4 linked regions of the Callithrix jacchus genome follow. The protein of the gene in region 4 purifies or fractionates together with the protein of the main gene of each other region. This does not show direct contact. Links are inferred from orthologs where the notes say so. Each region holds a gene or a part of one and is shown on either strand. Other genes may lie near its edges.

What was found. Proteins that work in one complex are often made in the same cells at the same time.
Region 1: the proteins of SDC2 (region 4) and FGF2 purify together in Homo sapiens (affinity purification with mass spectrometry; 4 studies listed by BioGRID and IntAct, counting the BioPlex papers as one, with this or other methods). This does not show direct contact. The link is inferred for Callithrix jacchus from reciprocal best matches to the Homo sapiens genes SDC2 and FGF2.
Region 2: the proteins of SDC2 (region 4) and CAMKV purify together in Homo sapiens (affinity purification with mass spectrometry; 3 studies listed by BioGRID and IntAct, counting the BioPlex papers as one, with this or other methods). This does not show direct contact. The link is inferred for Callithrix jacchus from reciprocal best matches to the Homo sapiens genes SDC2 and CAMKV.
Region 3: the proteins of SDC2 (region 4) and AMPD2 purify together in Homo sapiens (co-immunoprecipitation; 3 studies listed by BioGRID and IntAct, counting the BioPlex papers as one, with this or other methods). This does not show direct contact. The link is inferred for Callithrix jacchus from reciprocal best matches to the Homo sapiens genes SDC2 and AMPD2.

The regions. Positions count from the first base shown.
Region 1 is NC_133504.1:74,801,083-74,805,097, forward strand, and holds the start of FGF2 (fibroblast growth factor 2), read right to left. Parts: upstream 2,801-4,015; 5' UTR 2,784-2,800; coding exon 2,093-2,783; intron 1-2,092. UniProt on the Homo sapiens protein: Acts as a ligand for FGFR1, FGFR2, FGFR3 and FGFR4. Also acts as an integrin ligand which is required for FGF2 signaling. Binds to integrin ITGAV:ITGB3.
Region 2 is NC_133516.1:32,480,156-32,484,149, reverse strand, and holds the start of CAMKV (caM kinase-like vesicle-associated protein), read left to right. Parts: upstream 1-1,194; 5' UTR 1,195-1,343; intron 1,344-2,319; 5' UTR 2,320-2,457; intron 2,458-3,994. UniProt on the Homo sapiens protein: Does not appear to have detectable kinase activity.
Region 3 is NC_133508.1:147,514,531-147,518,666, forward strand, and holds the start of AMPD2 (AMP deaminase 2), read left to right. Parts: upstream 1-1,336; 5' UTR 1,337-1,371; coding exon of another isoform or gene 1,372-1,439; coding exon 1,440-1,530; intron 1,531-1,701; exon of another isoform or gene 1,702-2,579; intron 2,580-4,136. UniProt on the Homo sapiens protein: AMP deaminase plays a critical role in energy metabolism. Catalyzes the deamination of AMP to IMP and plays an important role in the purine nucleotide cycle.
Region 4 is NC_133517.1:30,649,788-30,653,287, reverse strand, and holds part of SDC2 (syndecan-2), read left to right. Parts: intron 1-3,016; coding exon 3,017-3,150; intron 3,151-3,500. UniProt on the Homo sapiens protein: Cell surface proteoglycan which regulates dendritic arbor morphogenesis.

The DNA of each region.
Region 1 (4,015 bases), on a different chromosome or scaffold from region 4:
GCTAGTTATAAAGTTGGCAGAGTTCTCAACCTGAGCACTGATGACATTTGGGGTCAAAAATTTTGTGTGTGTGGATATTATCCTGTGCATTGTAGAAGTTTAGCAGCAACCCTGGTCTCTACCTGTTAGATGCCAGTAGCACCCTTTCCGGGTTAGGGTAACCAAAACTGTCTCCAGGCACTGTCAAATGTCCCCTGGGAGGCAAAATCACTTGAGAACCACAGAGTTAAAGTAAGATTACACAAATGAAAACCCAGCTCACAGTTAGGAAGAAAAACTTAACAGCTGTTTTTAAAAGGGTAGTAATGTGATATATAATTCAAAATTATGTCCACTGGCTAGCCTCTATATAGTCTTATTCTAAGAAGAATCGGTATCAAAATCTTCAAGAAAAAAAGGATTCAGCAACTAACAGAGTTTGAAAACAAGAGTATTAGGGGAAGCCCCAAATATTACTTCATCTAGAGAATTCTTCTGTCCTCTGGTCATAATACATGCTTTTTAGTTAATAGTTTGTGATACTAGAAAAGGACAAAACTAATGGGGACACAGAGCACTTTGCCCTCCTCAGCTGAGATGGCCTAGCAGACAGCTGCAGAACAAATTTCAATCACAAAGATAATGTTGTGAAACAGATACTCAAGTTACCAGAATAGAGAAATAGCACAAACCCATGTAATAGGTTGCAAGCATGTTTTACGGGATAAAGTGATTTAATTTTTAAATTATGGCAGGCCTGAAAAAAAATTAAAGACTTGCCTTTCTTGCTGGTTGCTATTTTGGAAGCAATAAAGACACAGCTCATATAAAACTGTATTTCTTCTGCCAATTCACGTTTGGCTGTAGAATTTTCTCCTCTTCCCTCTCCGGGCTCTTGACATCCCGCTAGCATCCCAAGACAAAGGCAGAACTACAGGGGAGTGGCGCTCAGACCCCTGTGGGTCTTTTCTCAGGCAGAGAGAGAATCAGATTCTCCACCTGGAACCCATAGAGGAAGGATCGCCAGAACACACAGCTTTTAAAACATATCTTTACCCACACGTACAGAAGGACAGGTTAAAATATATTCTAGTCCTCTTTCTCTCACTTCAAATTCCATCAGTGTTGTAAATTGGCTCATCCTACGCCCCTTTCTTCTTTCCTTTAGACCAGTGGCTCTCAAAGTTGGATGTGATCAGCATCCCCGGGGAACAGGTTAGAAATGCAAATCTTCAGCCCCTACTCCAGACTTAGGGACTCCCCTAAAGTCCAGGAACCCCTGATTTAGGCCAGTGTTCTTTCTAGAATCATAAAAATTGTTTCTTAGAGAAAGCAAAACTGCAATTCTCATTCCATCCTCAAACCTGCTGCAAGGTAGGTATTAGCCCCACGTTAGGGATGAGGAAACCGGCTCTGGGGTTACAAGTCGGCCCAAGGTCTCAAAGCTAGTCACTGCACGGGGAAGGTTAAAGTGTTTGCACTTCTTTTCACTACTGAAACAAATTTATCGCAAGTTGTTAACATCTGGATTTCTTGCTGGTTGGCTGGTTGGGTTTTGTTTTTGCTCTTTCAGCTTTCGTCAATTCGGAAAAATATAAAACCGAGTGGGTGAGAGGAGTGTGCCACATGCCTCGGTTCTTCCCGAGTCGGAATTTAAGGGCAGGACTCTGGAAAGGTGTTTTTCCAGTAAAGATCGTTTTGTTCTGCTGCGGCCCGTCCTGTCTTTGAGGGAAATACACTCTGTCCCCCACAGCAGACACACAAGCGGCCAGAGCTGCACGGCGGGGCCGCGGGCATCCCGACGCGACAGGTTGTCTGCGGGAAGGGAGCCCGTCAGCCGGGGCCCGGCGCGCCGCGGCTCGGGGCTGGGGAGACTGGTTTACGGGGCAAACTGGAACACCCCAAAGCCCGGGGGACGCCCGGGCCTACGCCGCAGCTCGGGAAGGAGGGGGCGAGTGGTGAACCCGAAACCGCTGAGGGCCGCGCGGCCAGAAACCACACGGACCGCTAGGGTGGCAATGAAGATCCGGGAGGAGCGCGCAGGCTGTAGAGGAGAGAGTGGGCGAGGACCCGGGAAATGGAAATGGGGCGGGGAGAACGGGCCGGCACTCACTGTGAGGGTCGCTCTTCTCCCGGACCCCGTCCACTCGGCCGTCGGGGTGGATTCGCAGGAAGAAGCCCCCGTTTTTGCAGTACAGCCGCTTGGGGTCTTTGAAGTGGCCGGGCGGGAAGGCGCCGCTACCGCCGTCCTCGGGCAGGGCGGGCAGCGTGGTGATGCTCCCGGCTGCCATGGTCCCTCCGGGACCCTGCCGGGGACCCCGAGCCGCTGGAGCCGAGCGGGGAGCCGCCGCCCCCCGGCCACGGCCCCGGCCTCCGACCCGCTCCAGGGCACGGCCCCGGCCCCGGCCCCCCAGCCTCCCGCCCGGCAGTGCGCGGCCGCGCCCGCGGGCCCCCAGCCTCGCGCCGCTTGGCCGCTCTTCTGTCCGCCGGCCTCTGGTGCGCCGCGAGCCGGCGGCCCGAAAGCTGGGGTTCAGGAAAGGGTGTTTCCGCGGCCGGCGCCTGGGGAGAGCCGCCCAGCAAACTGCAGCGCCCGGGATCCCGTTGCAACCGCGGGCACCGCGTCCGCTGATCTGGCACCCGCCGGGCCGCGGCGTCACATCTTCTACATCTCCACCCCCGACACCCACCAGCCACCCGCGCCCCCGGCTCTCCTCCCTCCTGCGCGCCGCCCCCCTACTCGCTCGGGGTTTTCTGGGGCCGGCCTCTGAGTCCGGCGCTTCGGCCACAACACGCAAGCGCGACATCTGTCCCGGGGACAGCCGGGTGGGGGAGGGGCGGGGGGCGCGCCGGAGGCCGCAGCAGGACCCCGGTAGTCCCGGGGCTCCACGGTCCCTTGTCCCCCAGAAGTCACCCCCGCCCAACCCCGCACCACCCAAACCATGTTTAGGCTTTCTCTACACTGCGGGGCTTTTGCTGCGCAACCAGCCGTGACTCAACTTTTAAAAGTTTAAATACAACTTTCTCCCCCATTTTTTCCCTTGCTAGCGTTTCAAAACGGGGAAGCTGTTTCCACCCCAAAGTAGAGAAGTCGGAATCCAGGGAAGATTCTGTGTCAGAACAGGCTCTGAAAATCTCTAAATCACCAAAAGACGAGGGGTACACGTGGGGCATGAACTGTTTAAAAATAAAGGACAGAGACTAAAGTCGTCTATCAACAAAAGGAAAGAAAGAGGCCAGAGAAGGGAAGCAGATTGGGTTACTGACCCAACTTGAATTAGACAACACAGAAAGGTGAGGATGAGGCCCAAATCCTTATCGCGATAGAAGCGCATTAATGTCTTAACTCGGAGCTGGCATTTGCCCTAGCTGAATTGTTAATACATTTCTTGGAGACAGAGTTAATTTCTGTAAATCCCAAATGTAAATTTGAAGTTTCTTGCATTTTGGTAATTTTCAGTAGGATATAGCAGGTGCGACAGATGATTAGCAAACTTGCAGGGCTTTTGCTGCGCAATCAGCCGTGACTCAACTTTTAAAGGTTTAAATACAACTTTCTCCCCCATTTTTTCCCTTGCTAGCGTTTCCAAACTTGCTAATCATCTGTAGCACCTGCTATATCCTACTGAAAATTACTGTTTCACTCAGTGAGGGAGATAAGATGGGTAGCATGAGTAACACAAATACCAGTAGAAAGTAACTAGACCATAGAAGAGTAAGACTATGTGCTGTGACATTTCAGACATGGGGTAACTCAGTTGGGGAAGCAGGAGATTTAGGGAAGCTTCTAGAAGGAGTTGCAAGTGCTTCCTTGTAGAAACATTAGGTTTCAAAAGGTCATGTATAAGTGCATTTTTCTCAAATCTCCAAGAGGGCTTTAACTCCAGATTCATTTCTAGAATGTTAAATATAGGAGTGTGAGTAAATTCTCCGAAGCTTTAAAACCAGGCATACTCTTCTTTCTTCTTGCAGCTAGTGTATGTTCTATAGAGAAGGGGGAAAAAAAATTCCTCATTCATTACTAGGTTTATGGCTGAAG
Region 2 (3,994 bases), on a different chromosome or scaffold from region 4:
CCCTCTGGAGGAATATTTGGAAGAACCTTGTCTGAGGTGGTCACTTCCTACATTAGCCTTCCAGTCTGAGCCCTAAACCAGCAGTCCCTCCTGTCATCAGCCATGGGTTGCCATGCAGGGGAGCCTCAAGATGGCTGAGGGTTTGGGGGTGACCCCAACTCCCTCTTCTGCAGCAGGATTGGGAGGCTCACTGGGAGGAGTGGGGCAAGATAGAGCCCAGCTCCAGACACTGAGGCCTGAGTCTGGCTTTCATATACTGGCCTTAGGATGGTCCTCAGGGCTTGTGAGTGGCATGGAGCCAGCTTTGGGTCCATGAGCCTCACTGACAAGGGACAGAGAAATGACCAAGGACTTGCTTCAAAGCTTCCTCCTGGTGGTTCTGAGCCTCCTCCCTCTTATCAGGGCCCAAGCCAGTTGGGATACCTTGGTGCCACAGTTCTCCTGTGTCCCCATATCCCAGGCCCGGCCACCTAGAGTGAGGCTACTCAGGAAGTGTTTTAGAGTGATTAGACTGAAAAGAAAGCAGAGGCCACACCATGTCACAGGTCACTTTTATAGTTTGGGAAATTTGGTGCCACACAGGAGGGGGCTGACTCTGCCAGACACCCTGGCTGGGACTTATGGTTGGGAAAGACCAGAGGCCTTGCAGGAGTTGGGGGTGGGGTGGGATAGAGACTTTGCTACCAGAGTCTAGGGCCCTCACTATATACACACTGACTACTTGCAAACACATACCTCTGTGTGTTTACTGCTCCTAACTAGAGGATGCTAGTCTGTAGGGGAGCCTGCCCTAGCCCGACTGCCCATCTGGTTTTTCTAAGCGGGTCCTGCCTTTTGGGTCGGGTTCGGGAAGCTGGGCGAAGCCCGGGTCCCCTAGAGATAATGGCTGGCAAGGGATCCTCCGCAACTCCAAGACTTAGGCTTTCCCCTAACTCTTCACTCCCCACCCCTTACATTGAACATAGGAAGCCTCCTCCGGCCCCAGTCTGAGGGCCTAATGGAGCCGTTGAGGACCTTGGCCAGGGCTAAGCAGGCCAGTGCTCACCAGCACCGGTGCCATCCCGCGCGCGCCTGCTCTCCAGTGGGATTCTGCCCTTAAGGCTCCGCCAGGGTCGGGGCGGGGCCGGTTGGAAGGCCCCGCCCCCAGCCCGCCCCCGGCCCGGGGTGCGAATCCGGTGCCGGCAAGCGGCTGGCGATGCTGGAGGTTCGCTAGCCGAAGCGGCTGCATCTGGCGCCGCGTCTGCCCCGCGTGCTCGGAGCGGATTCTGCCCGCCGTCCCTGGAGCCCTCGGCGCCCCGCTGAGCCCGCGATCACTTCCTCCCTGTGACCAACCGGCGCTGCAGGTGCGGGGCGGGCCGGGCTGGGGGCGCTTCCCGAAAGCACGTTGGGGGGCCTTGGGGGTTTGTTTCCCTGGCTTGAGGTTCCGGATGCCGAGTGCGCGGAGGCGCAGCGAGGGCTCGAGGTCCTGGCGGGGTCAGAGCGCGCGGGCTTTGCAGATCTGGGGGACGGAGTGCGGGGTCGGGCTAAAGTTCCCCATTACCTCAGACGGCTTGGGGGTCCCAGGGGGAAGCCTCTGCGGCTTGGAGTTATGAAAAGATTAACCTTCGAAGATTCGTGGTCCCCTGTGAGGGTAGGGGCCGAGAGCTGAGACGTCCCTCCGCGTTCCCAGAGCCGCCTCCAGCCCCTCCCAACTGTCCCCGGGCCCCTTCCCTCCTGCTTAGCAGTCACTAATTTCCATGACAACGGAGAGTTCTTTATGGGCGACAACCCGGAGGGGGCTGGGCGGGGCTGCCGCGGGGTGGGGGAGGAGGCTCCAAGCCCCTGGGGACCAGCAGCCCCCAGCCAAAATTCAGCTTCTGAGCCTTCACCTGGGGACCAGCCGGGGGTCCAATGCACGGACCCGCGTGCACGGTGGGGGTGGGGGCGCACATGCTCCTGCTGGGAGGTGCGGGGCTTAGTGCTCACACGTGTGCTTTCCGCATGTGTGTTGCTGTGCCAGCGGGGGCGAGCCAGCAGCACTTGGGAAGGGGGTCAGGGTGGCACCACGGTGGGGAGCAGGGCCCATGGCTGGAGGTGGCAGGGATAGTGACAGCATAAGCTGCCTTCCCCAGCTTGTACTGTCTGGCAGAGACCCTGGGCTCTTGAGTCCCAGCCCCCTCCCCGCATAGCTCTGCCAAATTGCTTTTGTCTGCACCTCCCAGGCAGAGCCTGCTCCACTAGGTTTCTTCCTAAGGATCAGGGCCTTCTGTCCCACACTAAAAGCTTAGAGTCTGCAGTAGTCCAGTCCCTGTGCTGTACTCCCCTTATCCCCAACCTCAGGCTTTGAGCCCCCAGGACTACCTTCAGAGACCTGGTGTTCTCCCCCAGCCTCAGAGTTGATTATTGGCAGCTTCAGCGACTTCTGAGCCTCAGTTTCCTCAACTGAGAAATTGGTGTCTCCACTCCCCTCAGAATCAGGTTGGTTTCCAGGGTGGGGCAAGGGTTTCCCTTTTCTAATACAGCATTTGGTGTGGACCTCCCAGGTGCCCTCCTAGGTTGGCTGTTCACATAGCTCTGATGACCCTATTCTCCAGCCCCACGCCCTAGCCACTACTCACAGGCAGGCAAGCAGTACTCTGCCCTGGGAGAAGGCCAGATTCCATGGTTTCTATTCGGGGAAACTGAGGCATGGAGAGGAGAAGGGCTGTGCAGTTGTTATCCTGTTTTTGGGTTGCTTGTGATGCCGTTTCTGGCATTCATGGCAGGATCTGCTGTTGGGGGGGGTGGAGAGAGGGGATTAAGCAGAGCTGTAAGAGGGGCTCTGGGGACTGAAAGCCTGGAGAGGATAGCAGGTGGGGGAAGGGGTTGGTTGGGAGGGTCTAGGTACAGCTGGGCCAACTGAGAAGAGGGACTATAAAGGGAAGCAGCCAGGCATCCGAGCCTCATTTCCATCCCCCCATGCATCTGCCTTCAACATGTTGGACTTGCCATACCTAAGCTGCTGTGATGGCAGAGAGAGGGGCTGGGAACTGTCCTGACTGGGGGGGGGCGGGCGCTGTAGCAGCTGGGCTCTTCCCCACCAAGATGCTCTAAGGAGCTGGCCTCCTTTTGGCTGTGCTTCCTACGTTGAGTTCAGTGTATATGTGGGGGATACTGGAGGGTGCAGTCTCAAAGGTCCAGGTACCATGGATAGCTCCTGGCCCAGGGATTTAGAGGCCTTAGGGCTCTGCTGGGCACTCTTCAGCCCCCTTCAGAACTCCCGTCCACCTACCCTTTCCTGCCCTTTGTGCCTGTGTCCCTTTTATTTTGTCATTTCCTTGCTCCTTTTCCATCACAAGTTCTTTGTCTCTCTGTGTCTCTGCCCCATTCTCTTTTTTTCTAAATTCTCTCAGTCTCCCCACATCCCCTTTCTTGATGGGGACCTGGGTCACAGAACCTTGAAGAAGAAGCCAGGCTAAAGTCTCAGGAAATTCTTGAAGAAGGGACCTAACCAACACATCTCCCCTCCCCCTCCCCTTGTTTTAAAACTTCCATCACCATAGCAACCCTTTACTCTAGTGCCTTCCTCTGCATTTCCCCTCCTCCACCCACTGGGAAGCAGAGCCTCCAGTGGATTCTCCTTTAGGGGTTCAGAGATTGGGACCCCAAGTGCTTTGGAGGAGACAATTGGCCTTTGACTCTGCCTGCATGTTGAAAGCTAAACTTTCAGGATGTAGCACTGGACTGCATGCCCACCCCCAAGCCTGGAAAGACCTCCCCCCGATACTCCCTCATTAGATGGGCAAAATTCAGCTGTAGGAATTTCTACCATGATTTAGCTGGAGTCTGAGGCTCAGTCAAAGCAGCCCCTTGACTGGTCCCCTGAAGCAACTGGATGGTGGTCTAGAACCTCGGCCCTGCCTCCTGACAGACTTCGAGTGAAGTCTTCAGCTCCCCTGGTCCTGTGGGTGACATCAGCTGTGAGTTAGGTAGGGCTTGGGCTTCGGCATGTTCATCGCAGCAGGAAACCCAGCCC
Region 3 (4,136 bases), on a different chromosome or scaffold from region 4:
ATGGTCGGCTCAGGCCAGCCCTACCGCGGTGTGGTGGCTGCCCACGTGGCGCCCAGGAAGAGGAAAAATGGCGGGGCGGGGTCGCCAGGCGTGGGCGGGGCCAGGAGTGGGCGGGGCCAAGGGCCGCAGAGCCTGGCGCGTAGCCGGCGAGATTTTGGTAGGGTCGCACCTGTTGCGTGATTCCCCCATAGTCCGGCCGCAGAAGTCCGACCGTAAATGCCTAGGGAGTGTTGAGAGAAACGTGGACGAGTTCCGGGTCCCGCTCTCTTGGGAGCACGTGGCCCACTTGCCTCTCGATTGCGGGGTTGGGTGGTCGCGACGCCGGGGTCGCCTTGAGGCCAGTCCGGCTGCCGAGGTCTGCGGGAGTCCGCCTCCGGCCAGCTGACAATTTTGAAAGACTACCTTACTTCCCCCATCTCAGTGCCCGGGCGAGGGCCCTTGGAACGACTTGGCCGGGGTCTGGGCCCCGACCCCCCTGCCCTCCCTCAGGACCCAGGATTTCTGCTGTGCAGACCCTCGTGGGCAGCCTCCCCTCGGGACTCAGGCAGCATGGCCTCAGGTGAGTGTGTGTGCGGGTTTTGGAGGGAGGGTCTCTGGGACAGAGAAGTGCTGTGACCAGGGTGCCAAGAGAGTGGGAGTCCCAGCGCAGCCTGCAGTACCTAGGGAAGGCGGTCAGGTCCTCCTAGGAGGGCCTGGGGAGCAGAGTCAGAGTGTGCAGAGACAGAGGAAAAATCCGAAGAGGCTGGGGTCTCTGTCCCAGACCCCCAGATAAGGGAGTCTCCTGGCCTTCCTAGGAGGCACCTTTTTGGCGACGGTGGAATTTTCCCAGCACGAGCTCCTCCCTCCTGGGCTGGGATTCTCGGTTCTTTCCCCTCCTCCCAGAGCTGGGCTGCCCCTGAAGCTGAGGGTCAGATGGGGAAGGAAAAGGGGTGCTGGGTTTTCACGGAGTATGTAAGCCTGCCCTGCCCCGGGAGGACTGTATTTGAGCTTGGGCTCGCTCGCGGCTGAATTCCTGTTTGTTATTCTTTTTGGAAGGACCAGCTAGCCTGGACTTTGGCTTGTTTGCCCTGGAGCCCTGGCATGATGGGGTGAGGGCTCTTGGGGACTTAGTGGAGATCTGGGGGCTGGCCCTTCCCCGTCTTGTTTTCTGCCCACCCACTCCCCCGCCCCCTGCCAGGCCCAGACATCATCAGTCACGTCACTCCAGGGACTGAGGAGGGAGGGGAGGAATAAGGGGCAGAGATAGAGGCCCCACTTCCCGAGGTTGCCTAGACAACAGGAGAAATCGTGGCCAAGGCCTCTTCCGCCTGCGGAGCCGCTGCTTCCTGCATCAGTCACTCCCGCTGGGGGCGGGGCGGAGGAAGGGGTTGGATGTGGCAGAGCCAGGCCCCAACCGGTGCCGCTCAGACTCCCCCGCTGTCGCCGCCGTGGTCCCAGCCATGGCATCCTATCCATCTGGCTCTGGCAAGCCCAAGGCCAAATATCCCTTTAAGAAGCGGGCCAGCCCGCAGGCCTCCACTGCAGCTCCAGGTGAGTGTGCTTCCTGGCCTCAGGATAGATGCTAGGCTCTGTCCCGCCACCTCTCGCCCAAGCGGCTGGTCCCTCAGAGGGGGGCCACCTCCTCCGGCATCCTTCTGCAGTGGTGCCCCTCAACCTCAGTTCCAGGGCCGGCTGGCTTGGAAGGTGGGGTAGGGAGGTGGGGGGGTGGATCTGAGATGTCTGTGCCAGGGATGCTGTCCTGTCAGAGCAGTGGGCATGGTGTGGATGCAGCAAGAGGTGTGTATGCACGTGTCAGCGTGTACATGTGCTACGACTGCGTGCGAAGCGTGTGTGAATGGAGTGGGGGGGTGTGGGACTGACTGCTTTGCGGACTGGCCGCTCTGACTGGCGCCTGTGCCTTTACCGGCGGGCTCAGGCTGTTCTCCTGTGGCTAGCTCCTCTTTCCAGCACCCCACATCTAGATCCCTTTCACTGGGGGTCTGACATCTGGGCACAACCATTGCTGGCTGGCATCCCACAGCTGGGGGCTTGACTGTATCTGTTGTTTGCTATTTGCTCATTCCTGGTCTATGTTTTGAGCCTCCTTAGGAGCATGGGGTGTCCTTCGTCAGGTCTGTGCAGGGTTCAGTCTGGGGCAGCTGCCTGCACTGCGTGTGCTCCTGCACCCTTTGGTTCGTCTCTCACTCTAGTAAGCATCTCTGCACCATTGGAGCAGGCAACGTGGTGCGGCAGTGTCTGTCTTAGTGAGGGCTTAGCTGCCTGGCTGTGCGCTTGCAGAGGAATGTCTGCCTGCTGTCTGCCCCCAGGCCTTGTGGCTAAGAAAGGACCCACCCTGACTTTGATGACCAGATCGTGCTTACTGCTCCCACCCCTGCAGCAGTCTGTAGCTACAGCCCGATTATCTACATCCCCTATTGTTTCACTGAAGATGCCTGGTGCAAGGTCTGCAGTGTCCGGAGGTCTGTGCCATCCAGAAAGGGTGTCCTCTGGGTGGGTCCCTCCCTGGCCCTGTTTGGGTCAGCAGTAGGACAACTGGTATAGATCTAGCCAAGAACCAGAGACCCTTTGGTGGTGAGATGGTAAGAGCATCTGATACTTGTGGGTCAAAACCGTGGACACCTCGGTGCCTACTGAGGCAGTCCTGGCAGTGTGTGAGGGGCTCCTGGTCGGGAGGTGAGATGGGGTGCTCAGAATCTCGGAGTTGGTGGGAGTGGCTGTGGAGTGGTCTGCTCTGGCTTTTGCTTGATTCCTACATGAATGTGCGGTGCTGGCCCCTAGAGAAAGGGCCAGTAGGGAGCTGAGTCTTCTAGGACCGGCCTCTGAGAGCATAGAGGTTACTGCCCATGTGTCACCTTCAGTGAGCCCGAACAGCCCTGGAGAGTGGTTTGGCAGGCTCGGGGATGGCGCTGGCTGTTGGGATCTGTGCTGCTCAGCCCAGGATTGCTGTGGAGCCCTAGACCTCCCCTGCTAGGAGAGAGGCTTGAGATTTGGGCCTTTGACTCGACTCCTGGTGTCCCAGTATGAACCAGCCATGGGGGTCTGCGGTCAGCCTCCTCTAGATGGAGTTAGAAGTGGTCTGGGGCCATAGGTAGGGAGGAGGTGTGTAGAATCAGGGCTCTTGAGCAAGAAAAGATCTTACGCTCTGGGGGTGAGGCAAGTTCCTCTCTTTTCTTTTTTTATTTTTTGAGACGGAGTTTCGCTCTTGTTACCCAGGCTGGAGTGCAATGGCGCGATCTCGGCTCACCGCAACCTCCGCCTCCTGGGTTCAGGCAATTCTCCTGCCACAGCCTCCCGAGTAGCTGGGATTACAGGCACGTGCCACGATGCCCAGCTAATTTTTTTGTATTTTTAGTAGAGACGGGGTTTCACCATGTTGACCAGGATGGTCTTGATCTTTTGACCTCGTGATCCACCCGCCTCGGCCTCCCAAAGTGCTGGGATTACAGGCGTGAGCCACCGCGCCCGGCCAGTTCCCCTCTTTAGTCACCCGCATCTCCACTCGTGCCAAGTTCACTGCCCTTTACTGGCCTTTGCCTTCGCCCTGCACTGGGCCTTCCACCGTTCTCAATGGGTGGGGCGACAAGTAGAAGGTATTTGAGGGTCCCAGGAGTTTGTAATTGTAGGCCCTCACCTCAGCACAGCCTGGTGTTATGCAGAATGCTTGCAGAGCCATTATCTCTTATGGCAGCTGTGGCTAGGCAGGAAGGGACCACATACTGTGTCTCACTTGCAGATGAGGACAAAGCCTCCCAGAGGTAGGTGGAGACATGCCTGTCGGCAGGAACAGAATCAGACCCACACCCTCCACATCCTAGCTCCCTTTCTCCCAAACTTATCCTGGACAGTTTGTCCCATCCCGGATGGTAGCTTGGAACAGGCATTGCAGGTCCAGGAGCCTGTGAACCAGTCCCCTGAGCAGCTGGGTGGCGAGGAAGCCTCAGTGACTGGGCCATTTCCTCAGCTGCCAGCCAGCTCCTTCCCCAGCAGAGACCCTGTCTCTCCTGAGGGACCCCATAGTCAGGGCCCAGAGGACAGTGGTGAGCAACAAGGCCACTGCCAGGGGAAGCCGACCTGGGGCTGTGGGTGTGGAGAGAGCTGCTCCTCTCCTTTTTCTCCCCTCTTACCCTTTGGCCAGC
Region 4 (3,500 bases):
TCATTGTAGGGACAAATCAAGCAAATTATATGTAAAATGTTGATGGATAATTAAGTCAGCTGATAAAAAAGTGTACTATTTCTGGACCCATCATTATTAATTAACTGTATATATAACAGTTCATGCATACAGAATGCTTTAAATATGTATCTGTCTGTGAGATACGTATCTGTGACATATATGTACCTTTATGGGTTAGTTATTAGAAGCTCCTTTTACAGATGAAGAAAATAAGACTCAAGTATGACTTGCCTAAGAGTACAGAGCTAATAGATGCCAAAACCAGTAGTAGATTTGTTTGCTTTTTAAATACCAAACTCTGCATTTATTCCAACATGCCCTGCCGTTTCTTCTCTATAATAGTAAATGTATATGTTTTGAAATTAAAGGAGACAGTTGATATATTAAGAAAAGAACCATCCAGGAGCCAGGCACATTGCCTCATACCTGTAATCCCAACACTTTGGGAGACCCAGGCAGGAGGATCCCTGGAGCTCAGGAGCCTGAGACCAGCCTGGCAACATAGTTGAGACCTCATGTCTACAAAAAATTTTTTTTTAATATTAGCTGGGCATGGTGGCGCATACATTTAGTTCCAACTACTCAGGAGGCTGAGGTGAGAGGATTGCTTGAGCCTGCAAGTTTAAAGCTACAGTGAGCCATGATCGCACCCCTGCACTCTGGCCTGGGTGACAGAGGAAGAAAAGAAAAAGAAAGAAATGAACCATAGCCATTGCACATGTTTCCAGCATGTCACCTGTTGCTCTCCTACCTGCTTAGTGCATTGATACTATTCTGTGGAAAATACCCAATTTCTTTTGTTTGAGGAATTTAGAGGTATTTATCATTCATTGTTGTCTGAGGAAGCCTGGTTATTGTTAGAGTTTGAGTTCGTTTGAGTTGTTACAAATTTGACAAATGATCAACTTAAAAGGAATGTTTTATTTGAATGTCAGAAATTCTCAAATGCTATTCTGGTGAAAAAGCAACAACAAATAGAAATCATGCCCAGAAAGTCACTTGTTGAACAAATACCAGATCAGAGTCTGTTATGTCCTAGACACTATGTTAGGCCCTCAGCGAGCAATTCCTTGGCCTTACAGAGTTTCCAGTCTTGTAGGGGAGACTTTAATTAATAGTTACACACACAAATGCATAATTATAAATTTGCAATAAGTGCAATCAGGGTAAGAAGGGTGGTGCTAAAAAACCATTTAACAGAGATCTCTGACCTAATACAGAGGGTAGGTTTTCCCTGAGGTCTGGGGGTAGATTAGGAATTAAGTAGGTGAGATTTTCTGGCAGAAGGATTAGGATGCCATGGCTGGAGCACATGGTAAATGATGCTCAAGGAAGCTGAGAAGGCGAGTCAGGGGCTGGATCACACAAGCCTGGGCTGAGGCATTTCTTAATATATTTTTTCCAAGAGCAGTGGGGGACCATTGTAAGATCTTTAAACAAGGGGATGATGAAGTCAGTAGACAATTTGTGGCCAGAGGACTGGGCTGAATGGGGCCTGTTAGGAAGAAGGCAGGTACAGTGGTTTATGGAAAGGTCACAGTGGCTTGGATTGCAGTGGTGGTTCTGGAACTATAGAAAGGTGTTAGGAGTGGAGGGATAATAAGAAGATAATAGGACTGGATAATGGATTCAAAAACAAGGTGAGGAAGAGGAAGTCAGAGTTTTTGGTGTATAGGAACAGAGGGTTTCAGTCACTACAAGGTCACATGGGGAGAAGACAAAAGGATCATGAGTTCTGGTTTGGACATGTTTAGAGGTATGTTGTACCTTTTAGTCATTCAAGTGAAAATGCCAGGTAGCCCACTGGATATATGAATCTGACTTTGAGAGGGGTGGTAAAAGCCAAGGATGTAAATTTAGGTATCATCTGTGCTTAGATCATCCCTTATTGAAGTTATGGACATGGATGAGGGAAGAAGTGTAGAGTAAGAAGAGACCTAGGGACAGACCTTCAGACACTCTTTGATATTTGGTGTTCAGGTAGAAGAGGATAAACCAGAATGGAGACTTAGAAAAGCCAGAAAGGTGAGGGGGAAGCCAGGAACTCATAAGAGCCCAAAGAAATAGGGTTTTTCAGATGGCACTTGACAATGTGTGATTGTGCTAGGAAGTTCTACAAGAGGAAGGCGATTCTGAAAAGTGCCATTGGGTACTGTGGATACTTGTGACCTTAACAATACAGTAGTAATAGTGATGACAGGGAAAATGCTCCTGGAGGGAGTAGAATGTAGTGTGGAGAAGATGATGAGGACAAGAGCTAGTGAGTACCACCCCCATTGGAAGAATCTGCCTGTAAAATGGGGAGAGAGGTCAGGAACTCACATGAAATAAGGAGTCAGCCATGGGAGGGTTTTCCTGTTTTGTGTTTTGTTTTGTTATGTTCTTTTTTTTTTTTTTTGAAACGTAATCTCACCCTATTGGCCAGGCTGGAGTGCAGTGGTGCAGTCTCGGCGCACTGCAGTCTCCGTCTTGCAGGTTCAAGCAATTCTCCTGCCTTAGCCTCTGGAGTAGCTGGGATTACAGTTGCGCGCCACCACGCCTGGCTAATTTTTGTAGTTTTAGTAGAGATGGGGTTTCACCATGTTGGCCAGGATGGTCTCAATCTCCTGACCTCATGATCTACCTGTCTCGGTCTCCCAAAGTGCTGGGATTACAGATGTGAGCCACCACACCCCGCCTGTTGTATTCTTAAAACGGAAATGGAACATGTTTCCGTGTAGATTGGAAAAAATCTTGTCAAGCAGGGAGAATGAAACATGCAAGTGAAAGAAGGGATACTTGAGTGTTGAGGATAATAATATTAAGGAAAAACTTGCCAGGCTACCCACAGACACCTTTGAAATCTCTTCTTCCTCATGGTGTGAAGACCACAGGAAGCTTTGTGCTGAAGTCTTAAGGAGCCCCCATTTTGAAAGAACATGATTCTGTCAGTGTCAACTCAGGCAATAGTACCTGATCATGGAGACATCTGTGTCATGATTGCCTATTTTTCCAGGAGCTGATGAGGACGTAGAGAGTCCAGAGCTGACAACATCTCGACCACTGCCAAAGATACCATTCACTAGTGCTGCTCCAAAAGTGGAAACCATGACGCTGAATATACAGAACAAGATACCTGCTCAGACAAAGGTGTGTTCTGTTTTGCATTGCATTGGATTGCATTGCATTATCAGGTTATTATAAATGCTTCACTTTACTGACTGTATATGAGAGTCCCTTTTTCATTATTTCATTTTCTTCTTTTTGGAGCTACCCATCAAGAACTATGTATCACAGCAGTTCTTTTAAGAGGCCCCATTTAAAATTGTATAAGGACAAATGGTCTTTTCGTGGTAGTGTTATAAATGGCTCTTCCTTACTCTTTTTGATCATTTTGGTATTTACCCACTTATGATTTCTGTCATCCAGGCCCGGATTATATACCACTATTTTTTACATTTTCTACATGACTCACTACAATCTCTGCCTCCCGGGTTCAA